Saccharomyces cerevisiae S288C: one gene and its partners. Changing the gene in region 1 together with any one later gene gives a genetic interaction. Each region holds a gene or a part of one and is shown on either strand. Other genes may lie near its edges.

Evidence for each region.
Region 2: mutations in REX2 (region 1) and EMI1 together harm fitness more than expected from each alone (negative genetic interaction), as found in Saccharomyces cerevisiae (2 studies listed by BioGRID).
Region 3: mutations in REX2 (region 1) and MYG1 together harm fitness more than expected from each alone (negative genetic interaction), as found in Saccharomyces cerevisiae (3 studies listed by BioGRID).
Region 4: mutations in REX2 (region 1) and NBP35 together harm fitness more than expected from each alone (negative genetic interaction), as found in Saccharomyces cerevisiae (2 studies listed by BioGRID).

The regions. Positions count from the first base shown.
Region 1 is NC_001144.5:259,238-262,316, reverse strand, and holds REX2 (Rex2p), read left to right. Parts: upstream 1-1,769; coding exon 1,770-2,579; downstream 2,580-3,079. Other genes in the region: FRS1 (phenylalanine--tRNA ligase subunit beta), read right to left, coding at 1-1,338; glycine hydroxymethyltransferase SHM2, read left to right, coding at 2,916-3,079. UniProt on the Saccharomyces cerevisiae protein: 3'-to-5' exoribonuclease specific for small oligoribonucleotides.
Region 2 is NC_001136.10:1,470,000-1,472,675, forward strand, and holds EMI1 (Emi1p), read right to left. Parts: upstream 1,065-2,676; coding exon 501-1,064; downstream 1-500. Other genes in the region: SDH7 (Sdh7p), read left to right, coding at 18-419; dithiol glutaredoxin GRX2, read left to right, coding at 1,018-1,449; YDR514C (uncharacterized protein), read right to left, coding at 1,549-2,676. UniProt on the Saccharomyces cerevisiae protein: Involved in sporulation. Required for the full activation of the early meiotic inducer IME1.
Region 3 is NC_001137.3:482,825-486,168, forward strand, and holds MYG1 (Myg1p), read right to left. Parts: upstream 1,518-3,344; coding exon 501-1,517; downstream 1-500. Other genes in the region: GTPase-activating protein BEM2, read right to left, coding at 1-24; Golgi transport complex subunit COG3, read left to right, coding at 1,964-3,344.
Region 4 is NC_001139.9:341,556-344,792, forward strand, and holds NBP35 (Fe-S cluster-binding ATPase), read right to left. Parts: upstream 1,488-3,237; coding exon 501-1,487; downstream 1-500. Other genes in the region: nucleocytoplasmic transporter NUP145, read left to right, coding at 1-304; LIF1 (Lif1p), read left to right, coding at 1,764-3,029; MF(ALPHA)2 (Mf(Alpha)2p), read right to left, coding at 3,236-3,237. UniProt on the Saccharomyces cerevisiae protein: Component of the cytosolic iron-sulfur (Fe/S) protein assembly (CIA) machinery. Required for maturation of extramitochondrial Fe-S proteins.

The DNA of each region.
Region 1 (3,079 bases):
AGTGGTTCTAACAACTTGGTATTCCAAAGTCTTTGGGTTGGCCAATTTGACAGCTAAATCACCATTGTCGGATTGTCTTAGAAATTTAAAGTTTTCATCGTGCGAACATAAGGTCAATGGTAAAACCTCAACCCACGTGGCTTGAGAGGATGCAACTCTGAAAATATCAGAAACCTTGTTGATTGGTAATGGTTTGGCAATGAAGTTGGCATTGGATAATTTCTCACCCTTTGGCAAATTATTGAAACCATAACCGACAGCGGCATCTTCCATTATATCACAAGCGTGCAAAATATCAGGTCTAGTTACCGGAATGTCAACGTGCAAGATGTCCTTGTCTTCCTTTGATTGAACGGCATGCAACGACATCTTCTTTAGACAATGAGCAATTTCATCAGCGGATTGATCTAGGCCAAGACAGGAGTTGATGTACTTAATGGAGACATCCATAATTCTATCGTTGAAGTTTGGCGCCAAACGGGATTGGCCATTGTGTTCAGAGACAATTTCTACAGGCTCAACCGTGAATGGTTCGTCACAATAACGTGAGAACATTGTAGTTAATATGTTCAAAACGATCTCGGCTTTGGTCTTATCGGTGGCGGTTATATCAATCAAAATGTTACGGGTGTTCACAGAGATCTTCGAATGTTCACTATTGATTAATGGTGGCAGGGAGCAAACACGATCTTTGCTGTCCATAATAACTGGGAAGACTGGAGAATCCTCAATAATGTGAACGTATCTCCCTATGTTGTTTTTCTGTTCTGGAGATTTATAAAACTCGATCAATTTGTCACCAGTAAACTCTTGGGTTTGATTCAATGGTACGAACTTGATGTCCTTTGGTGGTAGAGCTCTGTAATGGAATGGACCTTCAATTGAATCTAAATCGTGAGTACCCATGGCAACCAAGCTTCTGTTTCTACATAGATTGGCATGTAATTTATCTTGCAAGGCAATAAAAGAAGCGTAAGATTTTTCGTTAAGCTTGATATTTCTCAATACAGCAGCGGTAGCAAAAGGTCTAATTTGCTCCGTTGATTTGTCGATGATCAACTTAGTGGTTGGCTTGCTTAATTTATAGTCAGGTCTTTCTTTACGTTCCAAGTATTCGTTCAGCGACTGTGAAATACCTTCGATACAAAGCAAATCGTAACGATTGGCACTGATATCAAGCTTCAATTCCGGCTCCTCCCCGGTTTTCAAGGCCTCCTCTGTGGTGTCTTCGTCCATTTCCATACCGAATTCAAAACATAATTCATCGAACTCTTGGGAAGTGTAGTTTTTGCCTAGAAGATCAAATAATTGCTGCTTGTTCACGGAGACGGTAGGCATGCTGGCTCGGTGTTATTGATGTGTGTTATGCTATTCTGCCCTATTTTTTGAACATTTGATCAACTCCAGGCTTTCGAGAAATACATTGAAAATTTTTCATTTCCTTCAATTTTCTTTCTTTTTTGGTACCGATTCTGAATAATCGGTCACCTCGTGTGTCGTGATAAATAATCAAGAAGATGTACTTTTATACAAGGGTTGTAGTCATCTGGGACACTCTCAGAGCACTGGCTCTGACGACAACCATCAAACGCATGCTCATACGTATAATTCAAGCCTTACATACACTGGTATTCCCTTTGGGGTGTTTCTTTTTCCTGTCAAGTTGGGCACTTAAAAGAACTAATAAAAAATCAGTGTGAACTTTTCGATTTGCAAAGAAAATGAAAAAAAAGAAAAGGAGCTTTCACAAATAAACAGAAGAGATCAAGATGAAGTGGTTGTTGTTTCCGGCAAGAATCGTAGCTCGCACTCGCCCAAACCTCTTCTCGCTGTACAGAAGATCCGTTTCACAGTACTTACGTCCTCGAACCATCCAAAACCTGCAATCAATGGCGCAAACACCCGAACTTAAAACCAAGCTGTTCAAACCCTTGGTCTGGATCGACTGCGAGATGACCGGTTTAGACCACGTGAATGACAGAATTATCGAGATTTGCTGCATCATCACCGATGGACACCTGGCACCCGTCAAAGCGGCCGATGGCCAAGGAGACTCGCATTATGAGAGCGTCATCCATTATGGTCCCGAGGTGATGAACAAAATGAACGAGTGGTGTATTGAGCACCACGGTAATAGCGGTCTCACCGCCAAAGTTTTGGCAAGTGAGAAGACTTTGGCCCAGGTAGAAGATGAGCTGCTCGAGTACATCCAGCGCTACATCCCAGACAAGAACGTTGGCGTCTTGGCAGGCAATAGTGTACATATGGACCGCTTGTTCATGGTCCGCGAGTTTCCCAAGGTCATTGATCATCTCTTTTACAGAATAGTTGACGTCAGTAGCATCATGGAAGTTGCCCGCAGACACAATCCCGCTTTACAAGCACGTAATCCAAAAAAAGAAGCTGCCCACACTGCTTATAGTGATATCAAAGAGAGCATAGCTCAATTGCAATGGTACATGGACAACTACTTGAAGCCACCACAGGAAACAGAGTCGGTCGAGTCAATCGGATCTGAACAGCCGGAGTCACCATCTTCATCTACCTCATCTTTGAAAAGACAACGCACCGATTTTTAATGTAGAAAAAAAAAAAGAAAAAAGAAGTGAAATTTTTCAAATATTTCACACACGAAACATGACTCCTGGTGAGAAATGACCCTTTCAGGTTGCTTTGACCATAAAGGTTTGACTCTATCTCTTGGGTTTCTCATGTTCGCTTTTTACTCTGTATAATTTTTAAATTCATAATCATCTTAGACCGAACCATGAGTCTTCTTCATCTTGTTTTATATATAATGCAGAACTTGCTTCCCTTAGTTTGCGTTCAGTAATCTTTCCTTCTTCTAGTGTAACCTTTACGAAAGATACTACCCCATAGCAAAGCATAACAGCTTAAACCGAATCCTCCTTAACATGCCTTACACTCTATCCGACGCTCATCATAAGTTGATCACCTCTCATTTGGTGGACACCGACCCTGAAGTGGACTCCATTATCAAGGATGAAATTGAAAGACAAAAGCACTCCATCGATTTGATTGCTTCTGAAAATTTCACCTCAACCTCCGTTTTCGATGC
Region 2 (2,676 bases), on another chromosome or scaffold:
TCCCGTCTTCATTCACCATGAACAACAAGCTCATATATCGTTCGGTTAGATTTGCAACCCATAACAGCCAGCTTTTACTTCCACCTTTGGTTCTCTACAGAAGGATACTAAGGCAGCATAAGCTGCTACCTGGTCCCCAAAGGGAGATGGGTGACCAATACGTGCGAAACGAGTTCAAGTTGCACAAAGATATCGATAACCCGTTGCATATAGTCGGCTTTTTAGCTTCCTGGCAAGATTATCTCCACATGATTTCCAACGGTAAATGGAAAGATGCCACTTTATCTTCGGAAACCCTGGAGAAACTATCCCCTGAGCAAACAGTTCAACTGTATGAATTGATGAAGGAAACACAGAAACTTCACCAAGACAATGAAATAGAATCAAGTAAGGACGTGAAGCGGAACAACAAGGATTAGTGTTCGTCTTTTTATTGCGCTTGTAAATAAGAAATCCATATACTATATAGTACACATGCTAAAAAAAAAAAGCTAAAAATCTCACTTATTTGCAGTGGTCTCCCTCTCCTGCCATATAACCCCACTGGTATTTTCCAATGCCTTATTGTTGGAAACCTGATCTTTATACCATTCCTGCACTTTCACAGGGTCATTGCCGTGGATAATACAAAACTTGAATTTGGACACCTGCTTGTCACATGATGTAAAATCTCCATATCTGTAATAGCTTCTAAATTGCCCTCCAATCGAATAGCAACTCGTCAGTTGATCAAATGCCTCTCGGCAACTCATCGTTGTCGGATATTTTGTACTCATCCTTTCCTGTTTCTTCCTCAAGCTGCTCTCTTTTACCCTAATAGAACCATCGCCTCCCTCTTGATTTATGCTAATACCACATCCAATAGCAGAACTATTACTAAGATCCGATATTTCGGCCCCCTTCGCAAAGGGGCCCGCCGCACTTTCTTCATGAATTTTCATATAAAAAGTCCCAGGACGCCAAGAAAAGGTGCCCTCTTGATTAACGGACACTCCAACTACTGTTATATATTGTTTCATGGAGACCAATTTTTCCTTCGACTCGAATTTAATTGTTATTATCATTATCACGTTGTTTGCCACAAGAATTATTGCTAAAAGATTTTTATCTACTCCAAAAATGGTATCCCAGGAAACAGTTGCTCACGTAAAGGATCTGATTGGCCAAAAGGAAGTGTTTGTTGCAGCAAAGACATACTGCCCTTACTGTAAAGCTACTTTGTCTACCCTCTTCCAAGAATTGAACGTTCCCAAATCCAAGGCCCTTGTGTTGGAATTAGATGAAATGAGCAATGGCTCAGAGATTCAAGACGCTTTAGAAGAAATCTCGGGCCAAAAAACTGTACCTAACGTATACATCAATGGCAAGCACATTGGTGGTAACAGCGATTTGGAAACTTTGAAGAAAAATGGCAAGTTAGCTGAAATATTGAAGCCGGTATTTCAATAGTTTAAATTACGCTAATATCCCCTTCATAATATTTACATATATATATCTTTTATTATCTATATCTTAAATCACATATACCTACAAAACTTCTAGCTAGATTCACACAAGAGTACTTTTGAAGGCTGCGCGTGCATTTTGAAACCAATGAGACCCGCTAAATTCCGTCTGAGGTACAAGATCCCTCGGCTTCTTTCTTCCCTTATCATCAACTTTCGGTTTGCTATTATTGGCATTCATCACACTTAGCACGTACGACATTGGCAAAATTTTGGGTTCGTCCGCCTCACGCTTAAACCATTCTCTTATCCTATATCCCATTGTTTCTAAATCATCTGCCCCAATTTGCTTTCTAAAGTTATAATCTCCTAACTTCAGCATCAGGAGCAACGTGTAATATGCATCATTGCCTGCGTTATGTAAGAAGGCATGTGGCAAGTGAAAAAGCCTTAGTAGTTTACCTAAACTGCTACCCTTCTTGCCATAACACATGCTATAAATTTTCTCTGTGTCAAGCATCTTAACATGTTTTCTAACACCTTTGCTCTCCGTTGAGTCCTCCGGTTTGGTAAGTTCATTATCCAATTCAGGTACATGGACCCCAATTTTCTTCAGCCACTTAATATCCCCCGCTATAGCATGACCCACAAACGCTCTTTCCCAGGTTGTATCTTGGTCCGTCTCACATTTCATATAGAAATTAATCAACGACTGAATGAACTCTACACATTGTTCCAATGGTAATACAAGACTTTCTCCAAGTAAAAAGCAGTCTTTAAAGTCGCATACGAATTTCTTGTTTCTTAACGGTAACGCTTCAGCAACAATTAAATGATAACTTCTTATAATCGGCATCAAGGAATAAATGTTTTCTCTTGGATCATATATGGCGATGCCAATCTCTGTAACAATGTCTGTATCAAATTCAAATGCCTCTACATCGATGGCAAAACAAATTGTCTTGTTGGATGATAATAACTCAATAGTTTTACAGAGATACTTGAACTGAGACCCACCAGGTTCACAATTCATCACAGGTATATGTTCGTTTTTTACGTCCTGTACATCTGCTAAATATTGCTTTCTTAGATTTTTCTCCACATCGTCTTTAGATGCATCAGGTATACACCCGTTTTTCTCTATCCATTTCTTGTCAATTTCTTCCAGCTTCTTATCCAGTAATTCTGAACTTTTCTCATAGATGGACCGATAGTTTGTTTCCAATGCCTT
Region 3 (3,344 bases), on another chromosome or scaffold:
CTTAGACCAGAGAAGACCTTTCATTAGACTCCTGCTTCGTTATTTGTTTTTTTTGTGTCTATCCAGAAAAGGCACGACGACCGTGTGTTCTTTTAAACTGAAACGTTTGCTTGTTTGTTCTGTTGGAAAAAATGGGACTGATCTGCAGTCTCCTAACCAAAGAGGGAAAAAAAAGAAAGAAAATTGCGTATAGCGGGAACGGGAGAATACGAAATCTGTATATTAAAAATGAAAAAGAATGTTTGAGTTAGCAGACAGTACCAGTGGCTGCAACGTAGCTTGCTTCTTTTGTTTTTGTTTTTTGTGCAACAAGAGCCGTCTGATATCTTGTGTTCTCAGGTCATTTTCAAGAGCGTGTTTCACCGAGGGGAATATGTTTCAGGATTCGCGGCGGGAAGATTTTTGCTTGCATTAAAGATTTACTTACTATACAGAATAAATAGTGGAATTGTTAAATATTATTAAATAGATAAGGGACCTGACTGAGCGCTCGCTCCCGACTAGGCCAAAGACATCTTAGCCAGCTCATATACAGCCTCTTTGGACTTGGCACCTCCAATGAAACCTGCTGCATGAATGAAGATACATCCTGGCACACCGCTCTTGGTGCTCAGCTCTTCGTCTCTGAGGCCTCTTAATGGCTCCGGCAAACCTCTCCTAAACTGGAAGGAGGTGGAGTTGATTGGTACAGTAGATACCCTCCAGGCACCAGAAGAGTCTGTGAAGAGAACAAACTCGATTTGCTTTTCAATGTTCTTCTCTCTTTCCAGCTCGTATAGATGCTCCTTCCATGGACAGAATTGGGGCAAGACAATGATTTTGCCACTCTTATCAACATCCATTCTTTCATCAATGGCTTGCGCCACAAGGGCCTTGGCTGGCAACCACGATTGACCGTAGCCTCTTACCAATGTGACAAAGACCCCACCGATAAACTCACTTGCGCGAGCAAAGCATCTGTCAAAAGACTCATCGGAAGTGTCTTCGTTCCAGTTAGGATTCATACCTGAAATAATCCCGGGAATGCTGATGGCGTTATCCCTGAAATTCGGTTCCAAGTTGGAATCCTTAGGAATCGTGTACTTGCTAATACCGTTGTCGTTTGCATCCAGTGCCTCGACAAATTGTTTGTATACCTTGTCATAGAGCAGATCTAAATCAGAGCTGCTAACCTTGTTGTTCAAAATTGTTTTGATAATGTCACGACCGTAGTGTTTGAAGATCAGACCAGCACTTGAGAGCTTAGTCTTGTATTTCTCGTTGAAAGTTTCGAAAAATCCACGCTGGTGGTGGTCAAAAAATTTCACGCCGTCATACTGAGCTCCTACATCCACTAGAATGTCACTAGCCTCCCAGTCCTTGGGATTTCTTGATCTAACCAACTTAGCATCTTTAAATTCGGGTAGTAGCCTTAACATGTATACCGCCAACGACTCGTCCGCGTGAAAAGATCCGGAATGCGTGCATATTTGTTTGGACATTTTTGAATTTAGCTTTACTCTTTTTACGCTATTCATGCAGACTTTTTGGGCTGGGCTCTTCAATTCCACAGCTTTTCGATAGTATTAACACATCATTACTTTCTACGTTGACAGAAAATTTTCGTGATTTGCCGTTCCCATCGCTCGAAAAGAAAGTGAAAAACTGAAAAAAATAATAGAGATTTATCAATGAATACAGTAATCCAAAGACGAGAGAAGAGCAGGAAAATTCGTACTTATATTGCAACTTAATGGTGGGCTCAGATTTTTCGATGCTCTGCCTCGTAACTCTAAGTATCAGCTGCGGATGGATCATAAGTAGTATTAATATAGAATATAGAGGCGCAAATTGAGGTTACCCTGTATAACGGCAGTCGTTGCGTCCATTGTTATGTAAAGTCTTGGCTTTATAGACACACAATAAATACTCCCAGCATGAATTGTTTTACCCAATATTGCACGAATTATCGACACATCCAAAGATGGCGAGAAGTAGAAAGAATTCATTGGTTCGAGATATTGCGTCTCATCCGACTATACCAGAATCTCAGACCATAGTGGGTTTACTGGACGATTCGTACCTTTTTGATAAGCTAAAAAAGCTATCTTTGGCTGTGGAAAATTCTGACAGTCTGCAAAGAACTGATGTCTCAGAAGGTTGTTCAGAGGTTAATGGTTCTGAAGCTACGACTTCTGCGGATGTAAAAAAGACAAACAAGTATTTGTATTATACTACCTATTTGGACCAGTTAAACATTAAGATAGACGAGTATAAAGTTGTTCTGGATCAAACACGCCAGGTTAACGATCAATTGGATAGTTCCATCAAGAAATTTCGGAAAATCTCTCAGGATACTGGAGCTTTCATTGAGGAAACGAAGACGATCTATGAAAAGCAGTCTAAATTAAGCAATCTAACTGAGTCAATCCCTAAAGCTCTCCATTATTTTGAAGTTTTAGACCCTATAATGCGTCGCTTGAACCATGCCACTTCTCCCGCTATTGTTAAGAAGAGCTCCTTTACGACAATGTTGGCGACTATCGACGAGTCTTTACGTTTTTTGGATGAGAATAGTGACCTCAAGGATGCGGCAGCGTACAGAATCAAGTTCAAGCAATGCTTGATCAGAGCCTGTGAATTGATATCTCACTTTTTAACGAATCTGTTGAAACAAACAAATCAAGAAATTTTGGATAAAACCAAAAACAAAAATTCGTTAACTGGGTTGCCGTCGACTACAAGAGACGCCTTCTTGTACAGTAAATTCTATACCATAGCTGATACTTTCAAAATTCAGGTTTCGGAAATTGTTAAGAGAAGCAACGAAAAAGCCTACAACAAGTATCACGATGAACTGAATTCCATTCTTTACGAGTGTTTCAACCACTATTTCCAAACACGTTTAAGACTGCTAACTCCGGTCATTTGGTCACACATTGATGAAATTGTTGTTAAAGATAAGGACCAGGGCTTGGTCAAATTCATTCAAGACGGTAAGGTTTATTTTCAGCAGTTATGCGCGGACGAATACAAACTTTTCGTAGAATTTTTCCCTGAAAAGGAATGTCGTTTCAAGATTAATCAGTGGTTCTTACAGTTATGTGAACCCCTTTATGACTCCATTAGAGTCAGGGTTTTGAAAGAGACAGATATTTGTACTTTGTGTGACTCAGTGACTTTGTTTGCTCCATATTATGAATTTGAAGAAGGTTCAGAAGAATACGTGAAGCAGTTTACCGACATTCAGTATGATAAACTATTCGAACCGATTGTCCAAAAAGTGCAGGCTAGATTAATTTTAAGAGTGCAAATATATGTCCAACAAAATATTTTGAGCTATAGGCCCACTAGGGACGTTTTCA
Region 4 (3,237 bases), on another chromosome or scaffold:
AAGTATAAACGTATTTGAAGTATATCTAAAGCTTGTGTTGGATAATGTTGAAACGCAGGAGACTATCGATTCATTAATTAGTGGTATGAAGATATTTTATGATCAGTATAAGCACTGTCGTGAAGTGGCCGCATGTTGTAATGTTATGTCCCAAGAGATTGTATCAAAAATATTGGAGAAAAACAATCCTTCAATAGGCGATTCGAAGGCCAAATTGCTTGAGCTCCCCCTAGGGCAGCCAGAAAAGGCATACTTGAGGGGTGAGTTTGCCCAGGATTTAATGAAGTGTACATATAAGATATAAGTTTTTTTATTTTTATTTCTAAAAAAAAGAAAAATAGTAAAACATGGACTGAAGCTAACGCTTTTGGAGTAATTAGTAGCATTATATATGGTAAAAGTGTTCTTCAGTAGGTCTAAGATTTAAAGGTAATGATATTTATATTATAAAACGATTTGACCTCTAATGCACTTCCTTTTATTCTTTTTGATAAAATATACTATACATCCCCCACAGCATCTCGCAGAGCCTCCACAACGTTAAGTACAGCACTCGAAGCTGGGCTGTCAGGATAGTTATCCAGGAAACTTTCACCCATGTCACAACTCTTGCCAATCCTCGGATCTAACGGAACAGACCCCAAAAATTTGATGCCCAATTCCTTACAAAGTGCTTCACCTCCACCTGTGGTAGCCTTGAATATTTGGGACTCTCCTTTGCAATTTGGACATACAAATCCGCTCATATTTTCCACTAGTCCAAGAATATTGATACCAGCCTTCTTACAGAAATCTATCTCTTTCCGTACATCTAATAAAGCTACTTCCTGAGGTGTGGTGACCACAAGGGCACCATCTATGCCAGATTCTCTCATATACTTGTTTATTGAAATGTGCTCATCAGATGTTCCGGGCGGTGTGTCGATTACCAAGTAATCGAGTTTATCCCAATCAACATCCTTTAAAAATTTTTTTATCAATAAATTCTTTTTTGAACCCCTCCATATAATGGCGGAATCGTCTTCTGGAAGCATATATTGAATAGACATGGTGGCTAAATTATCAGTCACATAGACAGGTGTCCAACCGGAGTTCGATTCATGGACGGTTTCTTTAATGCAGCCTAACATATGTGGCAAAGAAGGTCCACATATATCTAAATCCATGGCACCTACTTGTAAATCTTCGTCAGCTGAAAGTGCCCAACTTAGCATTGCGGCAAATGTCGACTTGCCTACGCCACCTTTGCCTGATAAAACCAATATTTTATGTTCTATTCCTGACAAGTTATCTGTGATCAATGGAATATCTGGATCAGGGCCTTTCGGAAGACTTTCACATATTTCTTTATTGGCGCAGCCACCACAAGCATCGGACTTACCTGCCATGTCTGATTCTGGACCAGGACAGTGTTCTGGTTCCGGCTGATTAAGTTCATACTCTGCTGGTAGCACTTCGTCGTTTACATGTGGTAGTATCTCAGTCATTCTTGGATATCACTTATGTATACTGTTGTTCTCAAAAACAGAAAGACTTCACGTTTAGCCTAGCCTACGAGTTGTTGGACAAACATGTTATTTATTATTATATACAAAATATTTCTACGCATTACTAATTACACCATTAATGAATCCGAAAAAGTACCCGGAAGCGTATTTTGAAAAGCCATATTAAAGAATAATAAGATGAACGGCAGTTTTCGACGTGTCAATGCATAGAACTGAGAGAATTGTGCATTGGATGACTTATTTATGTAGGGTGCTATGTCCCAGCTGACGGAGTTCATTAGCTGTATCCCTGTGGTTAATGAAGAACAAAATGAAGAAGATGAGCGTGGCCTCTGTAAGATTCAGATTGAAGATGGCGCTATGTTGGAAACATTAGATGAGAACAGTCTTTCAGGGCTTAGAATAGAGAAAATGTTGGTAAGTGAAGGTACAGGAATTTTTTCCAAAAGCAGTTTTGGAATCAATGATTTGCGAATCTTTACGGGAGAAAATATCGATGAAGAGTCTAAGAAATATGTGTGGTATGAACTACTCAAAATGTTAACTGGTCACAAAGTGTACATTGCATCGTTAGACGAAAAAGTCGTATTCACAAAATGGACGTGCAGAATGCAAGATGATGAGGTATGGAAAGTAGTTATGGAGTTGGAGTCATCGGCGATCATAAGAAAAATCGCTGAACTTACCTTGCATCCAGTCAAAAAGGGAGAGATTGATTTATTTGAAATGGCAGATAAACTCTATAAAGATATCTGTTGTGTTAACGATTCTTACCGGAATATAAAGGAGAGCGATTCTAGCAATAGAAATCGAGTTGAACAGCTGGCTCGGGAAAGGGAGCTATTGGATAAGCTTTTAGAAACACGTGATGAAAGAACCAGAGCAATGATGGTAACCTTGTTGAATGAGAAGAAGAAGAAAATAAGAGAGCTTCATGAGATTCTGCGACAAAATAATATCAAATTGTCTGACGATGATGTTTTAGATTCTGCGCTTATTAATACGGAAGTGCAAAAGCCAATTTCTGAGTTAAACTCTCCAGGAAAAAGAATGAAACGAAGAAAGACGGTAGTAGAGCCTCAAAATTTACAAAAGAAGTTGAAAGACACAAGTCGGAGGAGAGCTAATAGAAAAATATCTAATCAATCCGTGATCAAAATGGAAGACGACGATTTTGATGACTTTCAATTTTTCGGACTTTCTAAAAGGCCAATTATTACTGCTAAAGATAAACTCAGTGAAAAGTACGATGATATTACCTCTTTTGGAGATGACACACAATCAATAAGTTTTGAATCTGATAGTAGCAGTGATGTTCAAAAACATTTAGTGTCTTTAGAAGACAATGGTATTCAAATATCAGCAGGAAGATCGGATGAAGATTACGGAGACATTTCTGGTTCTGAATCTGAGACTGATGCAAGTGCAGGGGAAAAGAAGAGCTCCAACCATAGTGAACAATCCGGTAATGATAGGGAACCTTGCTTGCAGACAGAATCGGAAACGGATATAGAAACATAGCCTATTTATGAATGAATGTAATATATGGCAAAGAGTATTATAGTATCGCATCATTTGAGAGAATACTTTATTTAAATGGCAAAAAATAGTTCTATGTGAGTGATCGAAAACTCAACTACTCAGATTGAAAAGAAAATAAATAAAACTAGGTGTTGTATGAACGTGAAAGAAATCGAGAGGGTTTAGAAGTAGTTTAGGGTCATTTTTC